Linked DNA regions of Saccharomyces cerevisiae S288C. The gene in region 1 interacts genetically with each later gene. Each region holds a gene or a part of one and is shown on either strand. Other genes may lie near its edges. The genes, in order: LEU9, CYB2 and INO1.

Evidence for each region.
Region 2: mutations in LEU9 (region 1) and CYB2 together harm fitness more than expected from each alone (negative genetic interaction), as found in Saccharomyces cerevisiae (one large-scale study listed by BioGRID).
Region 3: mutations in LEU9 (region 1) and INO1 together harm fitness more than expected from each alone (negative genetic interaction), as found in Saccharomyces cerevisiae (one large-scale study listed by BioGRID).

What each region holds. Positions count from the first base shown.
Region 1 is NC_001147.6:520,963-524,718, forward strand, and holds the start of LEU9 (2-isopropylmalate synthase LEU9), read left to right. Parts: upstream 1-2,064; coding exon 2,065-3,756. Other genes in the region: GTPase-activating protein RGS2, read left to right, coding at 391-1,320. UniProt on the Saccharomyces cerevisiae protein: Catalyzes the condensation of the acetyl group of acetyl-CoA with 3-methyl-2-oxobutanoate (2-oxoisovalerate) to form 3-carboxy-3-hydroxy-4-methylpentanoate (2-isopropylmalate). Redundant to LEU4, responsible for about 20% of alpha-IPMS activity.
Region 2 is NC_001145.3:165,658-169,413, forward strand, and holds the start of CYB2 (L-lactate dehydrogenase (cytochrome)), read right to left. Parts: upstream 1,652-3,756; coding exon 1-1,651. Other genes in the region: YML054C-A (uncharacterized protein), read right to left, coding at 1,966-2,124; YML053C (uncharacterized protein), read right to left, coding at 3,459-3,756. UniProt on the Saccharomyces cerevisiae protein: Catalyzes the oxidation of (S)-lactate (L-lactate) to pyruvate with subsequent transfer of electrons to cytochrome c. Is involved in the utilization of (S)-lactate as a sole source of carbon for growth.
Region 3 is NC_001142.9:133,981-137,736, forward strand, and holds INO1 (inositol-3-phosphate synthase INO1), read right to left. Parts: upstream 1,954-3,756; coding exon 352-1,953; downstream 1-351. Other genes in the region: SNA3 (Sna3p), read right to left, coding at 2,392-2,793; SCF ubiquitin ligase complex subunit DAS1, read left to right, coding at 3,399-3,756. UniProt on the Saccharomyces cerevisiae protein: Key enzyme in myo-inositol biosynthesis pathway that catalyzes the conversion of glucose 6-phosphate to 1-myo-inositol 1-phosphate in a NAD-dependent manner. Rate-limiting enzyme in the synthesis of all inositol-containing compounds.

The DNA.
Region 1 (3,756 bases):
TAATCATTAACAATTCTTTTCTTGAGATATACGTATATATGACGTCGTCATGTAGTATCTCTTTCGGGATACCCTTTGTAAACGTCCCTTTGTGGAGATGAAAAAAAAACTTGCTGAATAAAGATAGTTAAGGCGCTAGTAATCAAATTAATAACATATTATACCACATCACATCTATACCATTTCCGTTGCACATTGCTTGAACCAGTTGCCAAAATTGACTAAACGGATTTTTACAAAGTCAACGGTGATCACTAAAAGCAAACAACTCAAGCGACGAGGCAAGGAAAGAGAAGAAAAAAAAAATATTACATTGGCTATATAAATATCAAAACATCTTAGGTAAGGCACCTTTGATACATAAAACGAAGAAAATTCAGCACATGCCAGATGGCGAGTGTACCAAGTCTATGCGACATACTGATACCGCTAGAAAAGAATAGTCGCAGCGACGGCGATGCTGAAAGTAGCAATACAGTGCTGATTCAACTGCGAAAAGGGCATCACGAACGGATGCGTTCTCCTTACACAATACAAAAGTTTTACAAATTTCTAAAAAGAGCTCATTGTGAGGAAAATTTAGAATTTTTCGAAAAAGCTCATCAGTTCCTCCAGCTTAAGCAAAACAGGAGTATTAGCGAGGAGAAGCTCTTGGAAGTTTGGAACAAGTCGTTGTACATAAAATACATTGCCGTGGACTCCCCCAAAGAATGCAACTTTTCACAGGATACTAGGGAGATATTTGAGAAGTGCTTTGCTAACAATGAAGTACCTGCCGACGTAGACGTCCTGTGTGCCATTAGCCATGTGATGGGCCTATTAATGGACGGGTATCACCGATTTGTGAGTTCTGTTAATGAGAAAAAGTACTCCGCCACATATGCCCACAATGACTCTGCTACGGAACAAGATCTCAAAAACGAGTCTACAACTTCTTTTTCGTCATTAGGCGTGGAGGATATTTCTGAAGATAGAAATTCGTATCTTAAGAAGCCTGATATCAATGGTTTGTCAACTATCATTCAAGAAACGTCTGCAAACACGACCAATGAGTCGCAATGCAGCGATCGCACTTCTCGGCCAAGCGAGTCCTCTTCCTCACTCAACACTACCAGCTCGACCTACAAGAATACCAGCACTAGAAATCTGCAAAAACCGCAAAATACAGGAATTCTCAACTCGGGGAAAGGTTTATTGCAAAAACTTAACTTTGTTAAAAAACGGAAATCTTTCAAACAGCCTTCAGGCGTCATTTGTAGCCATTATAACAGCAATGTTCAAAACCGTTTGAAAGGACAAAACAGTCATCAACAAAGATAGCCTCTTCATCATCTGTGGAGACACAAATATCTTCATCCTCATCGCCATTACCCAATAAAGCGATCGGTAAAAATGAAAAAAGCGTTGAAAACGGCTTTAAAAAGCTAAATTTGCATGATATCAGTTAATCAAGATTAGAACTTTGATTAAGTAGAACAACGATAGAAAATCCGCTTTTCTGGCTAGTTCCCTCGTTTCATATTAATTCATTTCACACAATTTACTTCATTTCATCACGCTCATATTGTTTGTAACTTTAGTTTTTATTTAATTTTACGTACATGACACTGCATATAATTATTTCACAGGCATTTAAAATAAGAGCATTGGGCACAGTCTTCTTTTATATGTTGTCATATTCAAACACTAAACATTTATCTGTATAGTAATTAATGTTAGCTCTTCCTTCTGCATGGCGCTTGTTATATACTTCATTCGTCTATTTTGGTGCCGCGCGCCATCATGGTCCGGTAACGGTCGTAGTGAATGACTCATATTTTTCCATCTCTTTCGGCCTTGCCAAAAAATGAAAAAAAAAAAAAAAAAAAAAAAAAAAATTAAAAACGATGTCCAGAATCACAACTACAACATAGTTTTGCCTCTTACTGGCTTGATTGGAAGTTAGCTGTTAAATTTCAATAATGCCTTACTTTACTCCACGAAATCACAATCCTTGTTTTCGGCTTATAAGGGTCTTCTCCTTAGGATAATACTATCGGCACATTATCATTTAGCCGCGTAGCCATGGTAAAACATTCGTTCATAGCGCTAGCTGAGCATGCTAGTAAACTAAGAAGGTCTATCCCACCCGTCAAACTGACTTATAAAAATATGCTACGGGACCCATCGGTAAAATATAGGGCGTTTGCTCCACCAAAAATGGTCAAGAGGATTTGGCCTGACAAAACTATTCAAAAGGCTCCACGTTGGCTGTCTACTGACTTGAGGGACGGTAATCAATCTTTACCGGACCCAATGTCTGTGGCTCAAAAGAAAGAATATTTCCACAAGTTGATCAACATCGGTTTCAAAGAAATCGAAGTGTCTTTCCCCTCTGCATCTCAAACAGATTTCGACTTCACCAGGTATGCTGTAGAAAACGCTCCAGATGATGTTGGTATTCAATGTCTTGTCCAATCTAGAGAACACTTGATTAAAAGAACCGTGGAAGCATTGACTGGTGCTAAAAGGGCTACCATACATACTTACTTGGCCACAAGTGACATGTTCCGAGAAATTGTCTTCAATATGTCTAGAGAGGAAGCTATTTCTAAAGCTGTAGAAGCCACCAAACTGGTTAGGAAACTAACCAAGGATGACCCTTCCCAGCAAGCTACTCGTTGGTCCTATGAGTTTTCTCCCGAATGTTTCAGTGATACGCCAGGTGAATTTGCTGTAGAAATTTGTGAAGCTGTTAAAAAGGCTTGGGAACCTACCGAGGAAAATCCGATCATTTTCAACTTACCAGCTACTGTAGAAGTTGCCTCTCCAAATGTTTACGCTGATCAAATTGAGTACTTCTCTACCCACATTACTGAGCGTGAGAAGGTCTGTATTTCTACGCATTGTCACAATGACCGTGGTTGCGGTGTCGCCGCCACAGAATTAGGTATGCTTGCAGGCGCTGATCGTGTAGAAGGTTGTCTATTTGGTAATGGTGAACGTACAGGTAATGTTGATTTGGTTACAGTTGCCATGAATATGTATACCCAAGGTGTTTCTCCTAATTTAGATTTCTCAGATTTAACTTCAATTTCTGAAATTGTCCATCGCTGTAACAAGATTCCAATTCCCCCAAGAGCCCCATATGGCGGTGAATTGGTTGTTTCTGCCTTTTCTGGTTCTCATCAGGATGCAATTAAGAAGGGATTTGCAATCCAAAACAAGAAACAGGCTCAAGGAGAAACTCGGTGGAGAATTCCATACTTACCATTGGATCCAAAGGATATTGGACGTGATTACGAAGCCGTCATCAGAGTCAACTCTCAATCCGGTAAGGGTGGTGCTGCTTGGGTTATTATGAGATCTCTAGGATTAGATGTACCAAGACCAATGCAAGTTGATTTCTCCAATACTCTACAGAAAAATGCAGATGCCTTAGGAAGAGAGTTAAAATCCGAAGAGATTACAAAATTGTTCAAAGAAACTTACAACTACAACAACAATGAACATATATACGTCACCTTGTTGAATTACGAAGTTAAGAAATTGAACCCAGAGCGTAGAGCTTTAGTGGGCCAGGTAGAAATCAACGATAAGGTTGTCAACATCGAAGGCTACGGAAATGGTCCTATCTCTTCTTTGGTGGATGCGCTATCCAATTTACTGAATGTTAAGTTGAGCGTTCAAAACTACTCTGAACATTCCTTGGGTTCTGGTTCTGCAACCCAAGCGGCATCTTTCATAAATCTTTCCTACATAAAGGACATCAATAAT
Region 2 (3,756 bases), on another chromosome or scaffold:
CAATGCTAGTAACACCTAATAGTCTCATAGACATTTCAATTTCATCTCTTAAAATTTCAATGGCTTTTTCAACACCATTACGACCATAGCATGAGTTCGCATACAAGAATGGTCTACCCAAACCAACACCTTTAGCACCTAGACATAACGCTTTCAAGACATCTGTACCACGACGAACACCACCGTCCACGAAAACTTCCAACTTATCCTTCAAGTTACGTTGTTCCAGGATTGGCATGGTTTCAGCCAGGACTTCAATGGGAGCCCTTGAAAAATCTAATTGTCTACCACCATGATTGGATAGAACCACCCCACTTACACCGATTTCTGCTGCTTTGATAACATCTTCGGTACGTTGAACACCTTTGATAACAATAGGTAGTTTTGTCTTTTTCTTCAACTCTTCTATATCTTTCCAAGTCAAAGAGGGGTCAATAAACTTTGATAACGCTCTCGAAGCACCTTGAGATTCTTCTACATTAGTTTTCTTCATCGCTTTTGGACCAGCCTTTGTATTGGAAAATTTCAGCTTCATATCTTTTTCTCTTTGACCTAAACTTGGAGCATCCACAGTGACAAATAATGCCTTTACACCCAGCTTTTCTACATTTTTAACCAAATCATCAGTGATCTTTCTATCAGAGTTAACATATAGTTGGTACCATTGAATTTGTTTATCAGAGGGTGCTGCTTCAATAATTTCCTCAGGGGAACATGAAGCCAAAGTAGATATCATTTGTGGGACTTTTGTCACACCTTGGCCACAACCTCTGGCGACATCTTTTTCACCTTCTAAGGGGTTTCCCAGTTTACACAAAGCTGTAGCAGACACGTAGAAGGGAACATCCACATGAGAACCCAACATGTCAGTTGAAATGTCTACTTTGCGTACATCTACAAGGATCTTTGGTTTGAAAAAAATCCTATGATAAGCATTATGGTTTTCTCTGTGAGTAACTTCGTCGTTAGCACCGGAGGAATAGTAGGCCCACGCTTGTTTAGTCAAAGTTTGAGAGGCCAAGTATTCAAAGTCGTAAAGGTTAATAATATTATCTAGAGGAGGTAGCAGCGATTTTAGTTGTTCTTTTCTAGCGATATCTTCCTTAGTTTCACCAGGAGCATAAGGAGGACAGACAAGTTCAGGAGGCATGGATCCTTGAAGGGGACCCAATTTTTTCTCGGGAGCTATATACTTATCGATGACATTAGGAGCATGTAGTGGTTCAAAAATAGCAGTGACATCTTTCCCGGCGTTAAACTTGATAACATCCTGCCCACCTGGATGATTTGGTAGGAATCGCGTTAAGTCGTATACGTAACCATTGATCACAACCCAACAATCATCGGGCTTGTTATGCTTGGCAACTTCAGCGGGCGAAATCTTTTGTTTATTCATATCCAGTTTCGGCTCGTTGTCTATTTGGCCATTATGCCAGTTTAGATACGCCACGGAACTAGTAGCGGCTAGAATTGCACCGACTCTCAAGGCAGTCCATGACTGTGTGCGTTTTCTTGAGTCTTGTTCGAACGACTTGGATTTTGGAACGGTAGAACCGTACGCGCGGATTGTGTTCAATCTAGTCTTAGACGCTCTGAGGATAGCAGCCTCACAGTTCTTCGAGATTTTTAGTAAAGGTTTGTATTTTAGCATTGACTACTTTTGTTTGCTTTCTTCTCTATGCGGGAACTGTATTAGCGACATAGGATGTAAGAATACGAAAAGATGCAAGAAGATTAGTCGACCAGGTACTTATATATTCACATACTCCAACTGAAAGTATTGGAGATCTAAGGTTCAGCAGTTGGTTCTTGGCGGTTCTTGTATGACATTATTATTGGTCGGGTCGTAGTTCTCTCGAACAGGAGGAGGGGGCAAGGAGATATCGGCAGGCTTTTTGCTAGCGCCTTGTTTGAAAAGCGTGGGGGTAGGTCTCCAAGCGATTATTGAGGAAGTAGTTTCAAGTATTACAGAGTCCAGGGCACAAGGGTCTTCATTATAGAGAGAGAATTTTCGTGAAAAAAATGGGCAGAATGCCACATGTTAGCAATGCAACGACTTGAGTGGGGGGTGATCCTTCCGATGTATGCGTGAAAGATCTCGTGTTGTGCAGGAAAGGGAATCATTTCGGAAAAAAAAGATGCAACAAGGAGGATGGCATGTGGATACTACGTTCTTGCGTAATATCCTTTTTGTTGCCTGTGTTAATACGTGAGCAACATTTTTTGTTAAAGTAGGCGATCAACTATTGCCCCCTGATATTGGTAGTAATTCTGCTAAAATATCGGCTGAGAAATGGTGATTCTCAAATAATTGCTGGGATTCCACTGGATATGGCCCCATTCTTAGATATATGGAACGTAGTAGAAGGCCTCTTAGAGGCTATGGGAGTCTCTCAAGAGAAAATCGACATTTTTACGTAATCATTCGTTCATTTCACTTTATACGTCATGATTCAATATCGTATTACTTTATCAAGTACCCGCGTTTAAACTTCATTAAATGACTGCGTCTCAATCTTTATGTCATCCTCCCTCCGCAAGTGACAATGTACTGGTAAAATAAAAACTAACTAACTAGATGATATTTTTAGAGTTTTATTCCAACGTTTCTCAATAGGCGATGGAGGAACAGAGTGAATATAAGAGGCTCTGTGGATTTATGGTTACCGGATTTATTTCGTAAATTCTTATTGAAGAATGGGTGAATTTTGAGATAATCGTTGGGATTCCATTTTTAATAAGGCAATAATATTAGGTATGTAGAATGTACTAGAAGTTCTCCTCGAGGATTTAGGAATCCATAAAAGGGAATCTGCAATTCTACACAATTCTATAAATATTATTATCATCATTTTATATGTTAATATTCATTGATCCTATTACATTATCAATCCTTGCGTTTCAGCTTCCACTAATTTAGATGACTATTTCTCATCATTTGCGTCATCTTCTAACACCGTATATGATAATATACTAGTAACGTAAATACTAGTTAGTAGATGATAGTTGATTTTTATTCCAACACTTATATTCTATATATCCATAACATTGTCTACATATAATCCGAGAGGTTACGACAACATTCATATAATAAGGGTAGTACTGACACTTTATTTTGAAGTAAATCAAAATAGTCACTCTCGGTAGCCAAGTTGGTTTAAGGCGCAAGACTGTAATTTACCACTACGAAATCTTGAGATCGGGCGTTCGACTCGCCCCCGGGAGATATTTTTTTTCCCTTTTTCTCCAGGCCTAGTGAGGTTTGAGTTTTGAACGTTTTATAGATAGATGTAAGGTAGCCAGAATGAGCACTTAGCCTTTAAAGTAAATTGAGTAGAGATACGTAAACAGTCGTGATAAATATGTAATACATTGTATTATTTTAAATAGGTTAAATTTTCTTTTTTTTTTTTCCATTTCATTTTCATTTTCATTTCCTGCAGTTATTTTTTTTCTTATTAATCTATATCCATGTAATCGTTAGCGATATTGTTGTTAGTCAACGCGGCCATGGCAGTACCGGGTGCTTGTGATGCAATTATACTTTGGGATGGTAGAAGATGATACTGGTGTTGTATAATACTAGCACTTCCAGTAGGACTCGTGCCTGTTATGTCGCGATTAGTGTTACCGAAATAACCATGAATCATGTACTCTTCTGTTTCAGAATAAAATTCAGATTCGTTCAGTAAGCGGCTGTTCATAGTGTGGTGCATACTAACCGGTTTCAGGGGACATATTTCGATATTTTTTTTA
Region 3 (3,756 bases), on another chromosome or scaffold:
ATATATTAACTTCACTGGGCCTTGTTGAGTGGTCGCACATACACCACCTTCTTTTTTTTTTTCTCTCTTTTCTTCTCTTTACTGAGGTGGCCCTTGAATAAATACAGCACTTTCTCGCATCTACCTCAACTGAAAAAAAAAAAAAAAAATAAAAAACGCCCCTTTAAGACGAAGTGACAAAGAGGCAATAGTTCAAAAGAAAAAAAAAAAATATAAAGACTGTTGATAGTTGAATTTTTATAAACGTTATGTTAAGTATATGTATTGATGGAAGGGATAATAGGATAATGGTGAATGTCTTGTTTTTTTATAGGTAGGCGGAAAAAGAAAAAGAGAGTCGTTGAAATGAGATTACAACAATCTCTCTTCGAATCTTAGTTCGTTTTGAGAAGGCAATCCAATCAACAATCTTAAAAAATTTTCTAAGGCGGTTCTTTGCTTGTTTAAGCCATTCACCGGGTGAAATCCTGGTCTTGTTAATGGAGCTTTTAACCAGTAACTCAAGAAGGTTAAAACTGGATAAAAGTTCTCGAATTTGCCAGCATCTTCTTTAACTGGGTCCACCTTCTTATAGGACACTCTTGTACAAAACTCAGTCATGACTAAAAGATCGATGATCAAGGGCGTAGCCAGTAAAGAATCTTCGCAAACATTGTGAATGGAAATCCGGTTATGGCCACCTAACATCAACTCACTGTAATACTCGTCCATTGCCACTTTTGAGTCCCCGACGGGCTTCATATATTTGATGACAATGCAGTGGTCAACTTTTTTACCCAGTTTATCATTGTACAAGATATCATTAGACGCGATGATGTCATCTATGACAGAACTTTTGGAAATCTCCTTAGACCTAAATTGTTTTGGAGCAGATAAGTTATAACCGTCATTATTGCCTAAATGGTTATAGGATGCAATGGAGACCGGTTTAATACCTGCATCCACTAAGAACTGGGCCAGAACAGACTTCAACTTGGTTTGTCCCGACTTGAGATCGTCTCCCGCAATGAATGTACCCTCATGCTCAGCCAGCTGAACCAAGCCGGGAACAAAAGTATTCTGCGGTGAACCATTAATATAGGGGACACCTTCCAAGATAGATGCTGCTGCAAAGATCGTGGAAGGAGCAATCTCTTCATGGTCATTCTTAATAGACTGCAAGAGGTTTTCCATGGTGTCATTAACACCAGGAGATACTTCTACGTACCTCTCAGTATTTGCAGTCCAAAGAACGATTACTTTATCAAGGGCGTTTTCTTCTTTGAAATTCTGGATATCGCGTCTGATGCGTTGCAGATGGGTCCACTTACCCCTCGTGGTTACGTTGCCTTTTTCATCCAAATTGATGCAGTTATTGGCTCTCTCATCTTGATTAGCTGCAATGAAATCAGGGTAGTAAATGGAAGGAAGAGGCTTCACCAAGGACATCTTCGCCTTCAAGCGTTGTTGCAGATCATATTCGAGAACTTGACTTCTCTGCATAGCTTCGTATAGATCTGCGTTATTGATGTCCCAACCAGAGACGACAAAGTCGTTTGGGCTAACCATGGGCAACAGAGAGTTAAAAGGAGCATAAACGTCATTCCCCTCCGCATCGATACCCAGTTTCAAGGTAGAACATTGAGTCATGGAGCCGAAGTAGTTTGGTTGCTTAACGCCTTCCTTAGTTTGAAACTCCACATTGTGCTTATTCGCCAATACCGAGGCCACTAAAGTGGAGCCATTGTTGCCACCTAACCCAATGAGCATAATTCCTAGTTTTTCCGGCTTTTTCAAGTCAAGTTTGAACACGTAGTCTTGAACAGTGGGCGTTACATCGAAGCGGCCACTAGCTGTCTTCGTAACTACAGCATTTTCGTAGCTGTACTTGGTGAGCAGCTCGTTGTCCTTGTACGTGCACTTGTCGGTAACTACTTTAACGGAGGTGATTGGAGCAATATTATCTTCTGTCATTGTTACTTCTTTTTCACTGGAAAAAAAAGGGAATGAAACAGAATAAATCAAGGATAAAACTAACATTAGGAACCCGACAACAGAACAAGCCAAAAAAAGGTGACGAAAGCTCCAATTTATATACGTCTCAAATTAACATTGCCGCCAACGCAGAGGTGCGCTTTCTCTGCTCCATGTGAATTAAATAAGTTCAATATTCTGGGAAAGAAGGATGAAGATAAAATAGACAATACTTTTCACATGCCGCATTTAGCCGCCGAAGCGCATACTTGGCCTCCGCATATTTCACATTCAACACTTTCGATTCCGCATCCAACCCCGGAACACCGGCACGTATTTCATAAAAAGGACGTGAAGAACAAAAGGAACGAAGAAAAAGGCAATAATTTACTCTATGTGTTATTTAGAACTACGGTGATAAAGAGCTCGTTCCGATCACTAAGTACGGCCGGAAGAGAGCTGTTGTTTGTTGTCCATCAAGGGCACATCGGCACCGGCCTCATCGTCTTCATCATATGCTGGAGGCTGTGCTTGAGATTCCTCTGCAGGGTGAGCTTCCAGGTCACGGTCTACGGCGGGCGCAGTCGCATGTCTGCGTGAAAGATCGTACGAACGTTCACTACTCGTTTCATATACAACGTAGCAAGCGTGAATGATTGCTGGGAAGAATAACAGTAGGAAGAGAAGTAAGTTCAATAGTGTATCCCTGTTGAACATACCCTTACGCTTCCAGACGGCCACTGGGGGAATGAAAACCGCCAAAACCATTAACAACAAGTCGTCCTTGTTGATGGAATAGCTCATTCGATGGTCATGGTCATTAATATGGTCTCTGTCCATTTCTAAATTATATTTGGTTGTTTGCTTTCTGCTGGGTTTTTATTTTTTAACCTAGCCCCTTTCCTGCAGCTGGCTCATTCGTGCTGTACTCTCTTTCCTTTATATACTAGTGAGACCTTTTCCCCCGTTCCCAAAAAGAAAAAAAAAAAAAAAAAAAGAAAACGAGCCTTCATCACGTGCATTAAAGAAATAGTAATCCCAACGCACTCATCCGCTATATACATAGCGAAAAACTATATGCCCACTTCACAAATACGAGTTTGCATGTATAATATATAAGATTTATAAATGTTGTAGGGTGAATGTAAACGTTCAGTAATATACCGGTATATCTATCAAGATACGATCAATGCAACGCTTTACTGCACTGCACTACACCCCTTTTCCTCTACTTGTTTTTCTTAGTTCCTATTTCCCTCTCAAAATGCACCTGTTCACCAGAGTATTCTTTCTCATTGCAAGTATTACCCTACTTTATCGTCCCACACAAAGAGGAATATATATAGATTATAAGCGAATTGTAGATTTCGATGGAGATCTGATTTCCGTGCAAAATATCCAGGACGTCTATACACAGTGTTTACAACTCAGCTTATATTCATATCATGCCATTTCAAGATTATTTTCAGAAGAAAAAAGCAGCGTTCATTAACAGAAACAATAAAAGTAACGCAGATGCTTCAGCGCTACGAGATATTAACGATATTAACATAAATTTCGCCGCCAAGAGCAAAAACTACGTGTTCCCGCTAACAAAGCTCCCCGATGAGCTCATGCAAGAAGTATTCTCTCATTTGCCGCAACCAGACCGCTTGCAGCTTTGCCTTGTGAACAAAAGGTTGAATAAGATCGCTACCAAACTGCTTTATAGAAGAATATATTTGAACGACTCAAATGTAGTGAAGAGTGACTTCATGCATCTCGCAATTAATTGGACCCTACTGAACTTGCCGTCTTCGTTGA